Linked DNA regions of Macaca fascicularis. The protein of the gene in region 1 binds, or shares a complex with, the protein of each later gene. Links are inferred from orthologs where the notes say so. Each region holds a gene or a part of one and is shown on either strand. Other genes may lie near its edges.

Region 1 (3,560 bases):
ACCCCGAGGAATGTGGGGAACAAAGAGGGTTGAGACTGGAAATAAGAGCAGGGCATGTGCACACATCAACATGCTAATTAAAAAAAAAAAGTAACGTTCAAAAGTATTTACGAAGATAGCAATTTTATTTTAAATACAAAAACAAAAATTACTGACTGAAGGGTGCTATCCTACAACTGGACTCTATGATATCTCAGAAGCAGAGTAGGAGATTTAGTTTTAGTGTTTTTTTTTTTTTTTTTTTTGAGAAGGAGTCTCAATCTGTCACCCAGGCTGGAGTGCAGTGGTGCGATCTCGGCTCACTGCAACCGCCACCTCCCGGGTTCAAGTGATTCTTCTGCCTCAGCCTCCTGTGTAAATGGGATTACAGGCGCCCACCACCATGCCTGGCTGATTTTTGTATTTTTAGTAGAGATAGGGTTTCATCATGTTGGCCAGACTGTCTCAAGCAATCAGCTTGCCTTGGCCTCCCCAAGAGCTGAGATTACAGGCAATGAGCCACCATGCCCTGCCTAGATGTTTAGTTTTAATTTGTGATTCTTAAATGATGAGGAACAGTATTATCAAAACTAGAAAAAGAGTAATAAGTGAAAGACATTGTCTGTTATTTTCTAATTATGTATTTATGAAAGCTGTAAGTTCTGTATTAACTTGACTTTTTTGTAATAAGACAGTCATTATAGGAATTTTAGAAAATACAGAAAAAGAAGAAAGTAAAAATTATCTATAAGCCAACCACTCAGATTACCATTCTGAGCAATTGAGTGAGAATTTCTTTCCAGTGCCATGCCTAGGCACGTGTGCTCATGTATCCATGTGTGTACACACAAAAACACAACTCTAATCTTAAAGTACACATAGTTTTAGATTGTTTCTCCCCACTTTGTATTAAGTTATGAATATTTTCTAATGTGATAAATATTATATTGAGCATTTCCAGGCTTCTGAGAACGCGACCTTAAAGAGTTACACAGCATTCCGTCAGGTGGTTACGGCTAGCCTTCTTTTAAACATGGTTTAAGTCTACTGCATGCAGATGAAAGGCACTGGCTGCCTATCAGGGACACTGATGTCTTCTAAAGCCAATGGATGCTTTAGACTTTCTCACACTTCCCCTGGCCACCAGAGCTCAACCCTGGAGAGCATCTGGGGATGGGAGAAGGGTTGGTCAGTATCTTAAGTTCATTCAACGTTGACCTCTCTGGAGCAGTCAGTGCCGGCTGGGTTGGTGGTTTAAACAACATGAACACTTGCCTCCTGAAATGGACTCGAGTTAATCTGATCTGAGGAGGCCATCAAGAAATCCATATCAAAGTTCTTAGAATTTGATTTCATTAAAACCATAAAAGATAAAGATTTAATTGTGAAAACCTAGTTTTCTTCTTTGCAAATCATAGCCCCTGTGTTACCACTGATGTCCAACTGTGCTTCCAGGACAAGCTGAAGAGAGACTGGACTCAATTGTCCATCAAACAAGCTGGTGCCAGGCTGGCACCATCAGCCTGCTCCGCCAGCTGGCTCTCCCACAGACCTAGCTGGAAGGAGATGGCCTGGCCTACTGTTCACATGCAGTGTGGCACTAACATTCATCCTTACCTTTCAGACCAATTTTAAGTTACTGGTCCACCCCTGGTAAATGTCTCAGAGGGTTCATGCCGACACTGAACATAGGAGAGGAGAGAATTTAAAAAGAAAAAAACAAAACAAAACAAAAAAACAAAAAAACAAAAAACAAAACACAAAAGTGGCATTACTTATCACCCCATTTCCCAGTGTCCACCCCCAGCCCACCCCAGTCAGTGGTGGGTGAGAAACACACTCCAGGGTTGGTAGAGATCTCAAACTGTGATAAGCTGCACTTGCCTGTTGCTAGGAAACGGTGCATGGCCAGGAGGAGCTGTGGTGATATTTTAACCTTCATCTCGCTGTCTGTCTGCTTAAAGGCAGAAAAATCTTGCTTTCGTTCCCGGTGAGCTACTTTCTTTTTTGTTCTGTTGTCAGCTAAGGGAGGAATGAAAAGAGAAAAAAAAAAAAATAAGAAAATGCATCCCATGAGATCAGGGCTCTTTCTGAATGAAAAAGACAAAATATATTGGAAGGGCTGGACTGTATTTCCAGATGCAGGCGCTCTAGGCACAGATGCCACAGGGAAGGAGGAAGAGAGGGCCAGATCCTCATCAACTCAGCACAGCAGCCTGGGCACCATGCAGTCCGCAGTGAGTGACCACAGGCAGCCTGATGAGTGAAGGTACTTCAGGAAGGTCTGCAGAGGGCCCTTGTGAGCATAGCATCAGGCAAATGCTGACAGAGCCTCTCACAGGACCCACAGAAGCATATAGCAACAGGGCGTGCAGCCTGGAGTGCACAGTCCACTGCTGCTCAATGTCACCATACTCCAGCAAAGGACCACCACTGTGTACACACAAGGGAGGAGTGTCCCTACCTGTAAGAGGCCCCTCACCTCTGCTGAAAGACAACACACAAATGAAACCCCCTTAAGAAACAAACAAGAATGCTTTCACAGAGCAGTGTTTTAATATCTGTTTGCTTCACTGCTACTCCAGACCATGAGATCCTCAAGGTCAAGCAGATGCGAATGGGATCCAGACAGTGGTCCGTGAACTTCCTCTGAAAAGGTCCAGGGAGTCAATATTTTAGGCTCTGCGGGCCTACACAGTCTCCACACTGCTGTTTAGAAAGATGTAGGAGCATGGCTGTTTTCCAATCAAACTTTATGAACACTGCAATTTGAATTGCATATAATTTTTGCACGTCACAAAGTAATTGTTTTTTTTTTCTTTTCTTTTTTCTTTTCTTGAGATAGGTTCTTGCTTTATTGCCCAGGCTGGAGTGCAGCAGCACAATCGCAGCTCACAGCAGCCTCAACTCCAAGGCTCAAGTGATCCTCTCACCTCTGCCTCCCAAGTAGCTGGGACTGCAGGTGTTTGCCACCATGCCCAGCTAATTTTTAAATTTTCTGTAGAGACAGAGTCTCACTATGTTGCCCAGGCTGGTATTGAACTCCTGGGCTCAAGCAATCCTCCTGCCTCAGCCTCCCAAAGTGCTAGGATTACAGACATAAGCCACCATGCTGGCCATTTTGCAACAATTTTAAGATGTGAAAAGACATTCTTAGCTTGCAGGTCACACAGAAGCAGAGTACAGGCACTCATCGGCTGTGGTTTGCCAGCTCCTGACCTAGAAGGTACCTCCTGCAAAACCATCTTTTAAGTACTTTTCTGGACAAAGTAATGATCAAGAAAAAAAGAGCTTAAAGACAAGACCCCAATCGCTTGCTCCTTCCCAATAACTGACTCACTGCATTATTGTTTCTTGCATGGAGCAAAACAGATTGATTACTAGGCTTTTCCTGAGAAGGCGATCACAACTTCTACTTTTCGTCTGCCTCAATTCTTTTGAGAACTAGACAGCAGAAATCAATACAGAATTTAAAATAATTCTAATGGCAACAGCTGTCACTCCCAATCTCTATCCAGATCAAGAATATACCTGAAATTGGCCAGGCACGGTGACTCACGCCTATAATCCCAGCACTTATG
Region 2 (4,279 bases), on another chromosome or scaffold:
GTCGTCCAGCGGGAGAAGGGAATTACACTTGATTTCAGTGTAGACATTTTTCCCCTCTGTGCATGCTGCCAGCAGCTCCACCAGGGTGATGTGGTAGGCTAAGGGGCCACTCTCATCCCCTCGGTCTCTCTCTGAACACATCATATGGAGAAGGATGGGAAATGACGCTCTATCATTGTAAAATATCAGCACGTCTTCACCCCCATTTATCAACTGAAAAGATAATAAGAGAGTCTACAGAGCCGTCCAAACATTTATCCTTGCAGTTAATTCCAAAGGCTTGATATATCTGGAAACACATGTATCTCTTTGTTTTTTTTTTGTTTTTTTTTTTTTGATGATAAATGCATGTCATTATTTATTTAGATGTTTCAGCTCTCGCACTAAGTTTTTACAAGCTGGTGAACACTGACAAAATTATTTCTCCCACAGAACTATAACCACACATCCCCAGACAGTATAAATATATGGTTGAACTAACATTAATACACATCACCATTTTATCAATTACATAATAAAACAAATTATCAAGTATCCAAATATTAAGTTACACAGCTCAAAAGGCATATAAAATATTAGATGTCTGCTCAATTCATTAGCAGAAACCCATTTCTTTTTTTGCAAGAGAGGTTGGGAAGGGAAAAAAAAATCACACTTTCAAACAAAAATAAGTTGGTAAACATGCTTCTGATAAGTATGGAAAAAAAATTACAAGAATTTCAGGAAGTTTATGATTACAATAACAAAGCATCTCTACCTTTTAAAAAAATATTTTACTAAATTAAAGAGCATGTTCTACATGTTCTGCACAAGACAAAGGCAACATTTTGCTAAAAATAATTAATAGCCCCCTCCCATTCTTTTCTCAGGCCCTCCCTGTTAAGTTGCACCTCAGAGTGCAAACATTAAATTAATGTAAGGCTTTTTTGTCTGAAGACATTAAAGACATGTGCTTCTGTACAATGTAGATTTTCAAAATGGAGGTTTTTTTAATAACAGCACAAAGTGAGATTTATAGAAACATATTAAATGATCACTGTAAGACTTGGTAAAAAAAAAAAAAAAAAATCAATGGTTAAGCAAACCTGATGTATACCGGTATGAATGTGGGAGATGTAAACATAAAGTGAGCAGGCAAATAACCATGTAGGCCCTACTTTCAATGTTTGAAATGAGTGAAGGAATAAACCACATAAGGTCTAGAGTGTTCATAGTTCCTGGGATTTTAGTTCTGTATGGTACTAAAAATATACAAGTATTGTGCTGGGTATTTTGGCACCTAATCTTCCTAAATTTCTTATGTATTGATAAGATTCTGGCATGGGAATAGATTTAAACAAGTCATAACTCAATACTCCATGATTTTGGGAAAGGTCAATTGATACAAATGACAAGCACATTTTATACGCTGACAGCAAGAATCTTTTGCCAAGTATCCAAATAGGTTGACTGTAACCCAAATACAGAGGTTGCCAAATCTGTCTAGCTTGTGGCCTGGTAAAACTGCCTTTCAATACTCCTATGGAAGCTTCATTAGACTTACTAAGCCAACATGTTGGCTAATATGTATAACAAATTAGACCCTATCTCAAGTTCCACTTCCAATAGCATTAGGCACCCCAATTTTATTGAATGCAACAGTTGTTTCTATGACCGTTGGAATCTTTGAAACGCAGCCGCATTTTAGGACGATACTTCTCCAAATACAAAAGTTGCTTGCTGTTAAAAGCTCCACGCCGCTTTTGTCTTATGAATTGTACTGCATCTTCGTATTTCATTCCACCTTCAATTAATGCTAGGGCAACAAGTACTGGAGCTCTCCCAAGGCCTGCAACGCAATGAACAGCAATACAACAACCAGGTTCTTCACGAAACTTAATTTTTACAAGACTTAACCAGTCATCGACAATCTGGTTGGATGGTGGTGCGCCATCATCAAAAGGCCAATCAAGAACATGGATACCTTCTTTCTCCACAAGAGTAGTGTCGTAAGTTGCTTCACACACTCTTACTATTGTGGTAACTCCATACTTCTTAAGTTCCTCTATAAATTTGTTTAAGGTCGCATTGGTTGGATTGTGTGTAATAAGAAATCTCATGTTCTTGTATGTGACTTCCACAGGAGCTGGGCGGTTCATTCGAGCCATGTTAATTTAGTTAAAAAACACTCAATAGGGTTATGAAATAATTTAAAAAAATTGAATACAGAAATGATGCAAAGAAACTGAAGTCTACTTCAATATACTCCACTTGAAATTCTCAGTGCTTGAGTATGAAGTTGTAAGTAATGATAAATGAAATGAACCTCCTAACAAGCAGCAGCAATTCTTCAATCCAGTAATACTGAGGCCAACAGAAAAGAAGCGCACTGAGGTTTACCCCATCCAGGTCAGAACTCTTGTAAAATGCTCTGTGGATTTCAATTCAACACTTCTGTGTCCAGGATAACCACTCTTATGGGGGCTTCTTGGTGGAGTAGTAATCAGTTTCTACAGTTCACTTGTCTGCATAGAGGTCGTGCTGTGCCTGGCAGTAATCTCCACTGCCCTTCAGAAACTCCATAAATGTGTGACCAAGACCACCACAGAATTGAGGAATATGTTTACTCATTGAAGATTGTGGCCTAATCATACAGCCGGTCCCGAGGCGGCGGCGACACAGGCGGTGGTGGCGGCTGCAGGGCAGGAGGCGGCGGTGGTCGTGGCGGAGCGGCGGTGGCGGCGATGCAGGCGGCGGCGGGGGCACCAGACTCTACCATGCAGTGAGCGGCTCGGAGCAGAGCGCGTAGCCGAGCCGGCCCGCAGCCGAAGGAGCCAATACACGCGCCGAGGCCACATGTATCTCTTTGTAAAAACATATATAATATGGCACAAGCAGAGCTAAGCTGGGGGAGGGTGGTGAAAAGATTATGGTCCCATGCCAAGGAACCAGCTATGAATGCTATCAAAATCAGTTGGGGTGATATGGAAGCAGCAGATGGGGCAAGAATGAAACAATATGGATGATAGTAAATTGTTCATCACACTCAAATTAAACCTGTAAAAAAATAGTTATTTTCCTCTACCTTTTTTTGGCCAGGAGACTATGGCCAAAGCACAAGAAATCTCATAATTTTACTAAAGCAGAGTAAAATATCCTCATCCATTGTAATAGTGACTGCATAAGCAAGTACATCGAGCTAATTACAGCTCTACAAAAGTCTAAAAAATTCCATGTGTCATAAGAAGGCATCAGTAGAGAATGAAGGTAAAAGCAGAGACAAGAGAAATAAGTAGAAAACTAAGACCAAAAAACCAAGAGAAACAAAGATATGAATAGGTAGGGGCTTTTAGGACATAAATTTTCCTTCATATTTTGTTTATATAATTTTAGTAGAAAATTCCATCAGATGGCAGTTTTATTGCTCAAACTCCATACTATCTTATTGTCTATTATCAGTACCAATTTTCTAACCCCAGTGTGAGACATGTTGGTAGGTAACTAAGGATATACAATTTTTTCTCTATGTATTATATTTAAAGTGACAACATATTTAAATCTATAAGCCAGTTGGCTTACTTTGAAAGTTTTGTTGAAAGAGAATGTATATTTATCAAAAATATGTATTACATATTAACATAATATAATATTACAAATACTTCTTTGTGCACAGAAACACTTCACCCAACAGTGTCATAGGGATGGTTTCACTGTTTGCTGCTTCCCCATTCTAATTCTTTCCTTGCTGATCATAACACAAAATCCATTTAGTTCTCACATTTCCAGACAATGAAGAGCTAATGTGAAGGTAATTTCAGAGAAGAAAAAGGTGCATTTTACAAGCTTAAAATGTTCCTTAAAATGTTTAATAACAATAATTTACATTTAAAAATTCAAGGCTTTAAGCTAAATTAATTTTAAGATTTCTAAGTGGCAGGAGGGACTCCTTGAAGCATTATGGAAATTTCCTCCATTCCCAAATTTAAGGTATATACTAATGAAAATGCCCAGAAACCAATAAAAATCTACCATGTAACTATTTGGTAGCCATAGGTGGAAGCTCCCTTAGTCCATATGGGCCACTAGAGAACCATTTGGTCACAGAGTAGTGATTTAATCAACGGGCTCTTTAAGCTGCTACTTCTCCAATGCATCATACTTGAAGGCAATAGATGAAGTGCCTTCATCTATTCATTTGCTGAAAGTTACAACTTACTCTAAATAATAAGTTTCCACATGTTGTAAAAAAAAAAAAAATCACTGTTGGGTAGTTTGTATTACTTAGTTTGATTCTCTTCAA

What was found. The genes of interacting proteins can lie anywhere in the genome.
Region 2: the proteins of CNNM2 (region 1) and protein tyrosine phosphatase type IVA 1 are in contact, whole or in part, in a crystal structure (PDB 5MMZ), measured with the Mus musculus proteins. The link is inferred for Macaca fascicularis from reciprocal best matches to the Homo sapiens genes CNNM2 and PTP4A1. Residues at the interface, in NP_291047.2 of Mus musculus: Phe526, Asp528, Val551, Asn553, Glu556, Gly557, Asp558, Pro559, Phe560, Tyr561; in NP_035330.1 of Mus musculus: Asp72, Gly73, Ala74, Gly107, Leu108, Gly109, Arg110, Arg137, Arg138, Gly139, Ala140, Phe141, Asn142, Lys144, Gln145.

The regions. Positions count from the first base shown.
Region 1 is NC_088383.1:112,090,017-112,093,576, reverse strand, and holds part of CNNM2 (metal transporter CNNM2), read right to left. Parts: intron 2,002-3,560; coding exon 1,864-2,001; intron 1,662-1,863; exon of another isoform or gene 1,597-1,661; intron 1-1,596.
Region 2 is NC_088385.1:29,336,118-29,340,396, forward strand, and holds protein tyrosine phosphatase type IVA 1, read right to left. Parts: upstream 2,833-4,279; 5' UTR 2,148-2,832; coding exon 1,626-2,147; 3' UTR 309-1,625; downstream 1-308. Other genes in the region: inositol 1,4,5-trisphosphate-gated calcium channel ITPR2, read right to left, coding at 1-213. UniProt on the Homo sapiens protein: Protein tyrosine phosphatase which stimulates progression from G1 into S phase during mitosis. May play a role in the development and maintenance of differentiating epithelial tissues.